Linked DNA regions of Saccharomyces cerevisiae S288C. Changing the gene in region 1 together with any one later gene gives a genetic interaction. Each region holds a gene or a part of one and is shown on either strand. Other genes may lie near its edges.

What was found. Genes that interact genetically often act in the same process or in processes that back each other up.
Region 2: of PDR18 (region 1) and ZRT1, changing one suppresses a phenotype caused by changing the other (phenotypic suppression), as found in Saccharomyces cerevisiae (one study listed by BioGRID).

Annotation. Positions count from the first base shown.
Region 1 is NC_001146.8:762,995-771,438, forward strand, and holds PDR18 (ATP-binding cassette multidrug transporter PDR18), read left to right. Parts: upstream 1-2,380; coding exon 2,381-6,382; downstream 6,383-8,444. Other genes in the region: YNR071C (aldose 1-epimerase superfamily protein), read right to left, coding at 7,446-8,444.
Region 2 is NC_001139.9:18,755-22,608, forward strand, and holds ZRT1 (high-affinity Zn(2+) transporter ZRT1), read left to right. Parts: upstream 1-2,223; coding exon 2,224-3,354; downstream 3,355-3,854. Other genes in the region: FZF1 (Fzf1p), read left to right, coding at 3,550-3,854. UniProt on the Saccharomyces cerevisiae protein: High-affinity zinc transport protein.

The DNA of each region.
Region 1 (8,444 bases):
TATATAGATGACTCATAGAAGATAAAGTAGTCCTAAAGAATAGTGGTGCATCTTCTTTAAGCCTCACTCATTCTCGCTTATTCTTTCGTATATTTGCACAATAGGTACGCTTGTCATTATGTAGATTCTCAATACTTGATTTAAGCAGACAATAACAATTTCCAAACGGAGACTTTTTTTTCCATGACATTCTAGAATTTGCACATTTTGGCACCTCTGAAAAGATTGCGGATGATAGCGTCGTTCGCGAATCCCATTGATTCTATGAAGCCGCATCCAGGGTCTAAATTATTGCGCACGTTTTTCGGTGTGGTACACACTTTAGTCAATTGTGTTGTAAAAATCGATTGTTGAAGATGCCACCTAATGTGGTCGCTTTCTCATGAAAATTGATGGCGAAGGTTTAACCTCCCAATTCTGTTGTTTGCAGACATTCATTAGACCAAGGTATTACTGACGGGCTATATGCGGTTAGCCGGTCATTGTAGTTTCACTTCTAAAGTGTACAGTAACGTTTTGAAAGTTTCCTTTCTCAAATTGTCTATCGTACTAACATTGCATCAACAAATCGTGTTCGAACCGCCCAAACTCTCACTTCTGCGGTATGGTTTTTTTAGCTTGGTGTCATAAACTTGTCCATTAGACAAGCAAGGTCATTGCGGATTCAGCTAAATATGGGAAATAAAACAAATTTTTAGGGCTAGGGCAATTGTTCCTTGGGAGCAAAAAATTAGGGCCCGGATATAGTCTTGCACAAGCTGTACAGTTGCTTATATGACGGCAGACGGTATTTATGTAAGCACCTTAGTAAAATAACTTTGTATGAGACATTCCTGGGCCGTAATATGATAGCTTTTAGCTTGTGAATGATGGCACCCACATCCTGTCTAAATAATTTTAATCTCGCACGCCGTTCTAGCTTGTGGTCGTGGTTTGTCTTGTTCAAAACGTAAAGCAATTCCCTCGCGTAAAAGTCTTGATAAACGCCCTTTCGCTGCAAAAGACCCACGCTTTTGCTATTTGATTTTTCTTGATAGTTTGACAATTCAATAAGTTTATAGTTTGATTTATCCTTTCAATTTTACACTTGTTAATGACATACTGAGAGCTCATTGGATGGAAGAAAGCATAAACGTAAATCAGGGTCCTGAGTGTCTGGGTGCTGTCTACGTTAGTACTATTCGGCTGCATTATATTCCCAATTCACAAATAAATTAGGCTCATAACCGTAATTTTATTCGAGACATTTTTGGTTACTTCAAAATATTGTTATTATATAAAGATCATATAAAGTTCTTGGACAAGATTGGATACATTTAGTTTTATTTTTGAAAATCACAAAGATGAAACAAAATAAAAAATGTCAGCGTGCCGCATTGAAAGGTAAAAACTAAAATTAATGAACTTTTCTAATAAAGATGAAAGGGAGAAAACAGTATACATTGTAGCAGAGCGTTTAGAAGGAGTACTCAGAAAGTTCTAAAAAGGCCTTATTTCAAACTCATGAAGAAAAAAAATTTCCATGAATGAATGATTGTATGATTGTATTGGCATGTAATATCTGCAGGATCCACTCAATCTTGAAAAGATACTGTAGAGGAATACCCGAACAACAAATAAATCATGTTACAACTCTTTGACGGCGAAGGGTGTGGCTACCGTGCTGCAACATTTTAGTTACTGCTGGTACATTAAAATTGGGAAGATGTCCAAGAGAAGAACATGTTCTGCTATCGAATCTCTCACGATATATATATATATATATTTATATGACTCACCTGGTAAAACATCTATGTTTCGTTTCATATGAGGGCTTAGGTACCATTCTTTTAGAGTTAAGATCTCTTATTGTGGAAAAAAGAAGTTGAACGTGATTTCATTTGTTTATTGTGCTAGTGGCTGGAAATATGAAAACTTTTGCTCTTGCAACGTACCTTTTTACTTAATGTCTTATATTTGAACACTGCTATCCCAGCTACACAACGCATTTTCTGAAGGAAGAGAGTTTAGAAGAAACCTTTCTCTGTCCATCGCTATAATCAGCCGTTTCTTTTTCGCTTCCTTACGAAGTAAAGGGTGTCCCTTTATAACGTAAGCGTCCAAAATGCAGTTATTAATATACTCCATTGCACGCAAAGAAATTTCAAGGAAAGTATCCGGGAATTCTGATATTTTACACTTGCACTAATATACTCTTATTAGAAGTAGTGATGGTAGACCTCAAATCAATCTAAACATAATGGATTTCCATACTGTTAAAGACGGCGATACGGAATTGAGGTGTCCTATTCCCGACACTTTTGATGCGTCAGCTATAATCAAATCTTATGTTAAATAAGCTTCTGAACAAGGGATTCATCTTCGTAAGGCAGGTGTAGCCATGGAATGCGTTTCAGTAGAAGGTTTGGATTCTTCTTTTTTGGAGGGCCAAACCTTTGGCGATATTTTGTGTTTACCATGGACAATTATCAAGGGTATCCGTGAGCGGAAGAATCGCAATAAGATGAAGATCATTTTGAAGAATGTCAGTTTGCTGGCTAAATCAGGAGAGATGGTCCTTGTCCTAGGAAGACCAGGCGCTGGCTGTACATCATTTTTAAAGAGCGCTGCTGGTGAGACCAGTCAGTTTGCAGGTGGTGTAACAACAGGACATATATCGTACGATGGTATCCCTCAGAAAGAAATGATGCAACATTACAAGCCAGATGTAATCTATAATGGTGAGCAAGATGTTCATTTCCCACATTTGACAGTAAAACAAACTCTAGATTTTGCTATTTCCTGTAAGATGCCCGCAAAAAGAGTCAATAATGTAACGAAAGAAGAGTATATTACTGCCAATAGAGAATTCTATGCTAAAATTTTTGGTTTGACGCATACTTTCGATACCAAAGTTGGTAACGATTTCATCAGCGGTGTATCTGGAGGTGAGCGTAAACGCGTTTCCATTGCTGAAGCATTAGCAGCGAAAGGTTCAATTTACTGCTGGGATAATGCTACAAGAGGTCTTGACTCTTCTACCGCGCTAGAATTTGCACGAGCTATTCGTACTATGACAAATCTGTTAGGTACAACGGCCCTTGTTACGGTTTACCAAGCCAGTGAAAACATTTATGAAACTTTTGATAAAGTCACTGTTCTATACGCTGGAAGACAAATATTTTGCGGCAAAACTACTGAAGCAAAAGATTATTTTGAAAACATGGGTTACTTGTGTCCACCGAGACAATCGACTGCTGAATATTTGACCGCAATTACTGATCCTAATGGTCTGCACGAAATAAAGCCTGGCTTTGAGTATCAAGTACCTCATACCGCTGATGAATTCGAAAAATACTGGCTTGATTCCCCAGAATATGCCCGCCTAAAAGGTGAAATTCAGAAGTACAAACATGAAGTGAATACTGAATGGACCAAAAAAACATACAATGAGTCTATGGCACAAGAAAAGTCGAAAGGTACAAGAAAAAAATCTTATTATACGGTCTCTTATTGGGAGCAAATTAGACTTTGCACTATTAGAGGTTTTCTAAGGATTTACGGTGATAAGTCATACACCGTTATCAACACATGCGCTGCTATAGCACAGGCTTTTATCACTGGGTCATTGTTCTACCAAGCACCTTCTTCAACTCTAGGGGCCTTTTCTAGAAGTGGCGTTCTGTTTTTTTCCCTCTTATATTATTCTTTGATGGGTTTAGCTAATATTAGTTTCGAGCACAGGCCAATATTGCAAAAACACAAGGTCTATTCACTATATCATCCCTCAGCTGAAGCGTTAGCAAGTACGATTTCTTCTTTTCCATTCAGAATGATTGGTCTAACATTTTTCATAATCATCCTGTACTTCTTAGCCGGTTTGCATAGAAGCGCCGGTGCTTTTTTTACTATGTATTTGTTATTGACAATGTGTTCAGAAGCTATTACAAGTTTGTTTCAGATGGTTTCATCTTTATGCGATACATTGTCCCAGGCCAACTCCATTGCCGGTGTTGTGATGTTATCTATTGCCATGTATTCGACGTACATGATACAATTACCTTCAATGCATCCATGGTTTAAGTGGATTTCGTACATTCTACCCATTAGATATGCATTTGAATCGATGTTAAATGCAGAATTTCATGGAAGACATATGGATTGTGGTGGCACTTTGGTTCCTTCTGGACCTGGGTTTGAAAACATCTTGCCAGAAAATCAAGTGTGTGCTTTTGTTGGTTCAAGGCCTGGCCAATCTTGGGTCCTAGGTGATGATTATTTGAGGGCCCAATATCAATATGAGTACAAAAATACTTGGAGAAACTTCGGCATCATGTGGTGTTTCTTAATTGGCTACATCGTCTTGAGGGCGGTTTTCACTGAGTACAAAAGTCCTGTCAAAAGTGGTGGTGATGCTCTGGTCGTCAAGAAGGGCACAAAGAATGCTATACAAAGATCATGGAGCAGCAAAAATGACGAAGAGAACCTTAATGCCTCTATAGCAACACAGGATATGAAAGAGATAGCTTCAAGTAACGACGATAGCACAAGTGCAGACTTTGAAGGTTTGGAATCTACCGGGGTGTTTATTTGGAAAAATGTTTCTTTCACAATTCCTCATTCTAGCGGACAACGTAAACTTCTGGACAGCGTAAGCGGTTACTGTGTTCCTGGTACTTTGACAGCATTAATAGGTGAGTCCGGCGCTGGTAAGACCACATTATTAAACACTTTGGCTCAAAGGAACGTGGGAACGATTACTGGTGATATGTTAGTTGATGGTCTCCCAATGGACGCTAGTTTCAAAAGGCGTACCGGTTATGTTCAACAGCAAGATCTTCATGTTGCTGAACTTACTGTCAAAGAATCGCTACAATTTAGTGCTCGTATGCGTCGGCCACAGTCTATTCCTGACGCTGAAAAGATGGAATATGTTGAAAAAATTATATCTATTCTTGAAATGCAGGAGTTCTCAGAAGCTCTTGTCGGCGAAATTGGTTACGGCTTGAATGTTGAACAGAGAAAGAAACTATCAATTGGCGTTGAGCTAGTTGGCAAGCCGGATCTGTTATTGTTTTTGGACGAACCGACCTCTGGCTTGGATTCCCAATCCGCGTGGGCCGTCGTCAAAATGTTAAAAAGATTAGCTCTAGCAGGTCAATCAATTTTATGTACTATTCATCAACCATCAGCTACTCTTTTTGAACAGTTTGACAGATTATTGCTTTTGGGAAAAGGCGGTCAAACAATTTATTTTGGTGAAATAGGTAAAAATTCAAGTTCTGTCATTAAGTATTTCGAAAAGAACGGAGCCAGGAAATGTCAACAAAATGAAAATCCGGCAGAGTATATTTTAGAAGCCATAGGAGCTGGGGCCACCGCTTCTGTTCAACAGAACTGGCCTGATATATGGCAAAAATCTCACGAGTATGCAAACATTAACGAAAAAATAAATGACATGATTAAGGACTTATCTTCTACAACTTTGCATAAAACAGCTACAAGGGCCTCTAAGTATGCAACATCGTATTCCTACCAATTCCATCATGTGCTGAAAAGATCCAGTTTAACATTTTGGAGAAACTTGAACTACATCATGGCCAAAATGATGTTATTGATGATCAGTGGCTTGTTCATTGGTTTTACCTTTTTCCATGTGGGTGTAAATGCTATTGGATTACAAAATAGCTTATTTGCCTGTTTCATGGCTATCGTTATATCAGCTCCTGCAACAAACCAAATACAGGAGCGTGCTACCGTTGCTAAGGAGCTATATGAAGTTCGTGAGTCCAAATCTAATATGTTTCATTGGTCTTTACTTTTGATTACCCATTATTTAAATGAATTGCCTTACCATTTATTGTTTTCAACAATTTTTTTCGTTTCATCATATTTCCCTCTGGGTGTCTTTACCGAAGCCTCTAGGTCAAGTGTTTTTTATCTGAACTATGCCATACTTTTTCAACTTTACTATATTGGTCTTGCTTTAATGATTCTGTACATGTCTCCAAATCTACAATCTGCCAATGTTATTGTAGGTTTTATACTTTCGTTTTTGCTCTCTTTCTGCGGTGCTGTCCAACCTGCCTCTTTAATGCCTGGTTTCTGGACATTCATGTGGAAACTATCCCCTTACACGTATTTTTTGCAAAATTTAGTTGGATTATTGATGCATGACAAACCCGTAAGATGTTCAAAGAAAGAGTTGTCTCTTTTCAACCCCCCGGTAGGCCAAACATGTGGTGAATTTACCAAACCGTTTTTTGAATTTGGGACTGGGTATATTGCAAATCCAGATGCAACAGCAGATTGCGCCTATTGTCAGTACAAAGTAGGTGATGAATACTTGGCGCGCATAAATGCTAGCTTTAGTTACTTATGGAGAAACTTCGGTTTCATTTAGGCTTATATCCTTTTCAACATTGCCGGTATGATTGTGGTTTATTACGTTGTTCAAGTTAAGCATTTTTCCCCTATGAAAATTGGCTTCGTAAAAAGAATAACAAGTAAATTTAAGAGAAAATGAAGAAAAAAATTGCAGGTATACTATGGGTGCAGGTGAGGCGGTTTTTTAACCGATTTAGCACACGATACTGTGAATTTTGGGTTATATGATGATGTGAATATTGCAGAAATGTAATGTTATATTATTCAAAGAAATAGGGTAACTTCTATTTATGCAAACATTGGTAATCAAGGCTATAAACACATAATCCCAAATAAGTATTTTGGTACACAGTTGATGTTTCTTTATGAATACGACTCATTAGTTCACTGTCAAATTGCCAACGTTCAGAGGGACCTACTTACAGAGCGTATGTTTTATATTTACGACGAACGCGATCTAATTATTATCCGCTGGTTAAACAGCGTAATAATGTTCATAGGGGCCTTGCATGACATTTGAATTTGAACATTACTAGAGTTCGTGAAATTTTGTCAATGAAAAAATAATGTGACAAACGTCTGCAAATAACCTGAAGAATTTTATCCGGGATAACGACAAAGCGTTAAATATAGAAACATAGTGAATGTACTGCTAGGAAAAAAATAGGCATAATTTAATCTTTATTCATATAAATGTTTTTACCAGAACTCTCTTGGTAGATAGTTTTGATATACGGTTTCCTGCTCAATTTTAGTGAGGCTGGGACGTAAAGTATTTTTTTCAAATAAACCATTTCTTGTTTCTACCTTTTTAGTACGGATTTTTTTTAGTAAGTTCTGTATTCTTTTTTAAGAGTAAAAAATATTCAGACCCCAAACTCACAAAAAGCCTACAGAGTCCGCCTGTTACGCTCAATTTAGTACTACCACTTGTGATAATATTTATTTTGGGACAGGTCCAAAAACTTTTAGGTTTAAACGTACAAACGTTGAGTTTAATCTAGATCATATATCATTATAAAGGTTTTATCTACAAGCAAGTGAAGAAACGTAACAAACGTAAAAAGCTTCAGCCTCACCTAAATATCGAATTTGTACTGAGTCTTTGAAGTGTATACCTCGCCGCGCTTCAGAAGAACACAACCTCTCCACTCATCACGGTTGATAGCATCAACGTATCTACCTTGCTGAACGGCAAATCCAGACCTTGGCACAAATTTGCCACATAAATTATCACCGGTGTACAAATGAACGGTTGGTTCTGTCGTCGAAACCTCAAATTTGATGTGAGATTCGGGATGATAGGCCTTAAAAACAGGAACCAATTTGTTGACACTCACAGAATCTGTAGTCTTCAAATCCTTGTTAGCGTCAATAATGAAAGTGCAATCAAAGACCGGAGTATCTTCATGCAAAACGGTGGGCTTAGTTGAATCAAAAGTAGCAATGTTCCTTTCAATGATCTTACCAGTTGGAAGCAATGCCCCCTCTGTAACTTCAAGCGATTTGTTCGAGCAGACCTTAACTTCTGTACCACGAATGGACTTCTCACTCTTGACTTTGTTCAAGTTAAAATACGAGTGGTTGGTCATATTAATTGGAGTAGCATCACCACGAACTAACTGTGCTTGGTATTCCATGTCTAAAGTCATTTCTGCAACATTCAAAGTGTACTTCACTGTGACTTCCAAGTCACCTGGAAACTCGTTAGGGTTGGGCTGTGTGTGATCATCCAACAATTTAAATTCAACAACGTAAACGCCCTTGGAAGGATTCTCAACAGGGGACGCCTTGTACTGCTTAAGATTTAAGGAACTGATACTGCTGTGATTTGTGTTACCACAATTGTTAACAGTTAACTTGTGAGGACCATCATCCAGGCTGAAAACACCCTTGGCGATACGGTTGGCATAACGACCAACTGTAGCGCCCATCATGTTACCATCTGTTAAATAGTCTTGTACGTTTGAATAACCTTGAACGACTGATTGGCCGTTTACCTTCAGGTCTACCAAAGTTGCACCAAGTGGCGCAATGGTAGCTTGGAACTTTTTCTCATCACCAATTGTAATGACACC
Region 2 (3,854 bases), on another chromosome or scaffold:
CTTAGCTGATTTAATTCATTTATTTGCTGTCGTTTGCATTTACTGACTAAAAAAAGTGTAAAATATGGGAAGCGCAAATTGAAAAGTCGGGTTGCGAAATTACCTGCCAAAAATCCACCTCGTTAATATCTAACAAGATTCAACGCCTGTTGACAAAAGAAACTCGTCAGTCTCTCAGTTTACTTCTATGTTTAACATATTTGCTATGATCCACTCTAGATTCTGCCCAGCCCTCAACTTCACGCCCACGTTGAGAGTACATTCAGTACGTTGAAAATACATTCAGTCACACCCGCAGCACAGCAAGTCGTTTCATCTAAGCTATTTTGATCGTTAGAATATCCACACCTCACAAGTATCGACAATTTAGATGTGTATTGGGTTTTGTCTACGCAAATACCATTAGTTTCACACAAGATGCCATCAGCGCTACTGTAAATAGATTGTTCCTCTGTTATCGTGCGAATGGAACTAGAAAACCAATAATCATTGAATAATATATGTGACAGTGACAGGCCACCAGAATAAAGCTAATATCTAGAGGGGTATTTCTTCTTGAGTGAAGAAGAAATATGCTACTTCCAAATTTTAGGACGACAAATCCTCATAATATGAATTAGGCAAATTACAGAATGAAGGGGGTTGAGAAGTCCCACAGCACATCGCTCCTTCGCTAAGAGCTCCACTGCTAAAACAGAAAAAAAAAGTATTAATCAATTGTACTACCATGTTCTTTGTTACTAAACGCGCCTATTTTTTTCGAGAGCCTTTACGAGAGTCAATCAAGCATTCTCCCGCATACTTCGCTAAGAAAAAAGTGATCTTTAATTGGGCCCTTCATCTATCATTTTTGCTTAAGTGGCGTAACTTATTTTATCATTTCCTCTCCCTGCCATCCTCTTTATTTTTGTTCTGTATCACAGCAGTTAATTCAGTTTCCATTCAAAGTATGCCACGGATAACTTGATGCTTCAAGAAGAAAAATTATTTGGCCTAAAACTTGCTGTTTCTTCACAATTTTTCTAAATGCTCTCCGATTCCCGGATTGCAGATGTTTCACTGCTCCACATTATATCCTTTGTGTCCACCTTGATAATCGATACTTTAAAGATTATTTTGTGGGAGGAGAGCCTTAGAAAGAATACGCTTGTTTTAAGAAGGAAAACAAGCGGCACCAATCTTCAATTGGTATTTTAAAATCTATTAGACGTCAAATCCCGGTTAGACTTGAGATAGATGTACCTGGAGAGAAAATCTATAATAAAAAAAAAAATACTTTCAGGTCAGATATTTCTTTTTTTGTCCCTAATAAAAAGAAATGGTATTCTGCCAAACACCAAAGTGCCAAATAAGCATTATTTTACATAGTACGAAATGGAAATTACGTCAATTATCGACATTATGACATAAAATTGGATTTAACAAGATCTCTGAATCTGATATGCTTCTTTCATTAGGGTGGAAATAACAGCATTTGAGAGAAGCAATTGCCAAGCTTCTATGAAAATTTTCTAGAAGGCAAGAGTATTTCAGACTTTCCTAATATGAAAGGACAAATTGACACTAATGTCTGATTATGGCCAATTCCTGCGGTAAATTACACGGCGATTACGGCGACATGAGCTCACATTCATCACTCTATGGGACAAATGTTTCCAAACTGGGCGCAACAAACACCTGATGTGACTCCTACCCTTTGGACAATGCAGATCCACGCTACGGCAAATTAGTCAAATGCACTAGAACATGGCGCAAGTACTTATTGTGACCTTTGGGGTACCGTTACCGTCAGTTTTCTTCAGCTAAGGCGCGCGCGCCAGATAACTAAAAAAAAATATAGTTGCTGCTTAAAAAACAATACACCCGTACTCTCTTGCCTGTAAAAACCTCGAAGGACCAAAGATACCCTCAAGGTTCTCATCTGTGCGGTATTCTTCAAATTACAATGACATTTCCCAAAATTATCAGATGTGCTCAGGTATCTTCTCTCCAATGAGATGAGACAGATGAACATATTTGACCTTGAAGGTCATGGAAAGTAGGTTGAGAGCAAATGTGTAGAACGAAATTAAGAAAAAAAGAAATTACGCACGGCATTAGCTCGATGACTTAGTTATAAATAGAGGCCTGGTATCGGCTGTCATGATCTCATCTCTTCCCTATTTACAAAAAAACTGCAAGTATAGACAATAAAACAACAGCACAAATATCAAAAAAGGAATTATGAGCAACGTTACTACGCCGTGGTGGAAACAATGGGACCCTTCTGAAGTTACACTTGCCGATAAAACCCCTGATGATGTGTGGAAGACCTGTGTTTTGCAAGGTGTTTACTTTGGTGGAAACGAGTACAATGGTAACTTAGGTGCCAGAATATCTTCCGTCTTTGTTATTCTTTTCGTGAGTACTTTTTTCACCATGTTCCCATTAATCTCAACAAAAGTGAAAAGATTGAGAATTCCTCTATATGTTTACCTTTTCGCAAAGTATTTTGGTTCCGGTGTTATTGTTGCAACCGCATTTATCCACTTAATGGACCCTGCTTATGGTGCGATTGGTGGTACCACTTGTGTAGGACAAACCGGTAACTGGGGTCTTTATTCATGGTGTCCTGCCATTATGCTAACGAGTTTGACCTTCACTTTCCTTACTGATCTATTCAGTAGCGTCTGGGTTGAAAGAAAGTATGGTCTTTCCCATGACCATACCCACGATGAAATTAAAGACACTGTTGTGAGAAACACTGCAGCTGTTTCAAGTGAGAATGACAATGAGAATGGTACTGCAAATGGATCTCATGACACCAAGAACGGAGTAGAGTATTATGAAGATTCAGACGCTACATCCATGGATGTTGTTCAATCATTTCAAGCACAATTTTATGCCTTTTTAATTTTAGAATTCGGTGTGATTTTCCACTCCGTTATGATCGGTCTAAACCTGGGAAGTGTTGGTGATGAGTTCTCCTCCCTATACCCTGTCTTAGTGTTCCATCAATCATTTGAAGGTTTAGGTATTGGTGCAAGATTGTCAGCCATTGAATTCCCTAGATCAAAGAGATGGTGGCCATGGGCCCTATGTGTTGCGTATGGGTTAACCACACCAATCTGTGTGGCCATCGGTTTGGGTGTTCGTACCAGATACGTCAGCGGTTCTTACACTGCGCTTGTTATCTCTGGTGTTTTGGATGCCATTTCTGCTGGTATCTTATTGTACACTGGTTTGGTTGAACTACTAGCAAGAGACTTTATATTCAATCCTCAAAGAACAAAGGATCTAAGAGAATTGTCCTTCAACGTTATATGCACTCTTTTCGGTGCTGGTATCATGGCTTTGATCGGTAAGTGGGCTTAAACCAAAGCGAAATTCTGCATGTTCCATATAGATTCTATTTCATATTTTATAGTTATTTATTCTTTAGTAATAGCAAAAAAACAGTAATAATTTTTCTTTAACAGTCTCGGACAATAAATACGCTAAAGAAGATGAAAATGACAACTTTTACGCTGGTGTGCACAAGTGGTACCAGAATACGTGGCCACCAAAACAATGACGGATATAGGGAGAACCAAGTCTAGAAATTACAAATGTTCTTTTGACGGTTGTGAGAAAGTCTACAACAGACCTAGTTTGCTTCAGCAACACCAAAATTCGCATACCAATCAAAAGCCGTATCATTGTGATGAGCCGGGATGTGGCAAAAAATTTATAAGACCGTGCCATCTACGAGTTCACAAATGGACTCATTCACAAATCAAGCCCAAAGCGTGCACATTATGTCAAAAAAGATTTGTCACAAATCAGCAATTAAGAAGGCATTTAAATAGTCATGAAAGAAAAAGCAAGCTTGCATC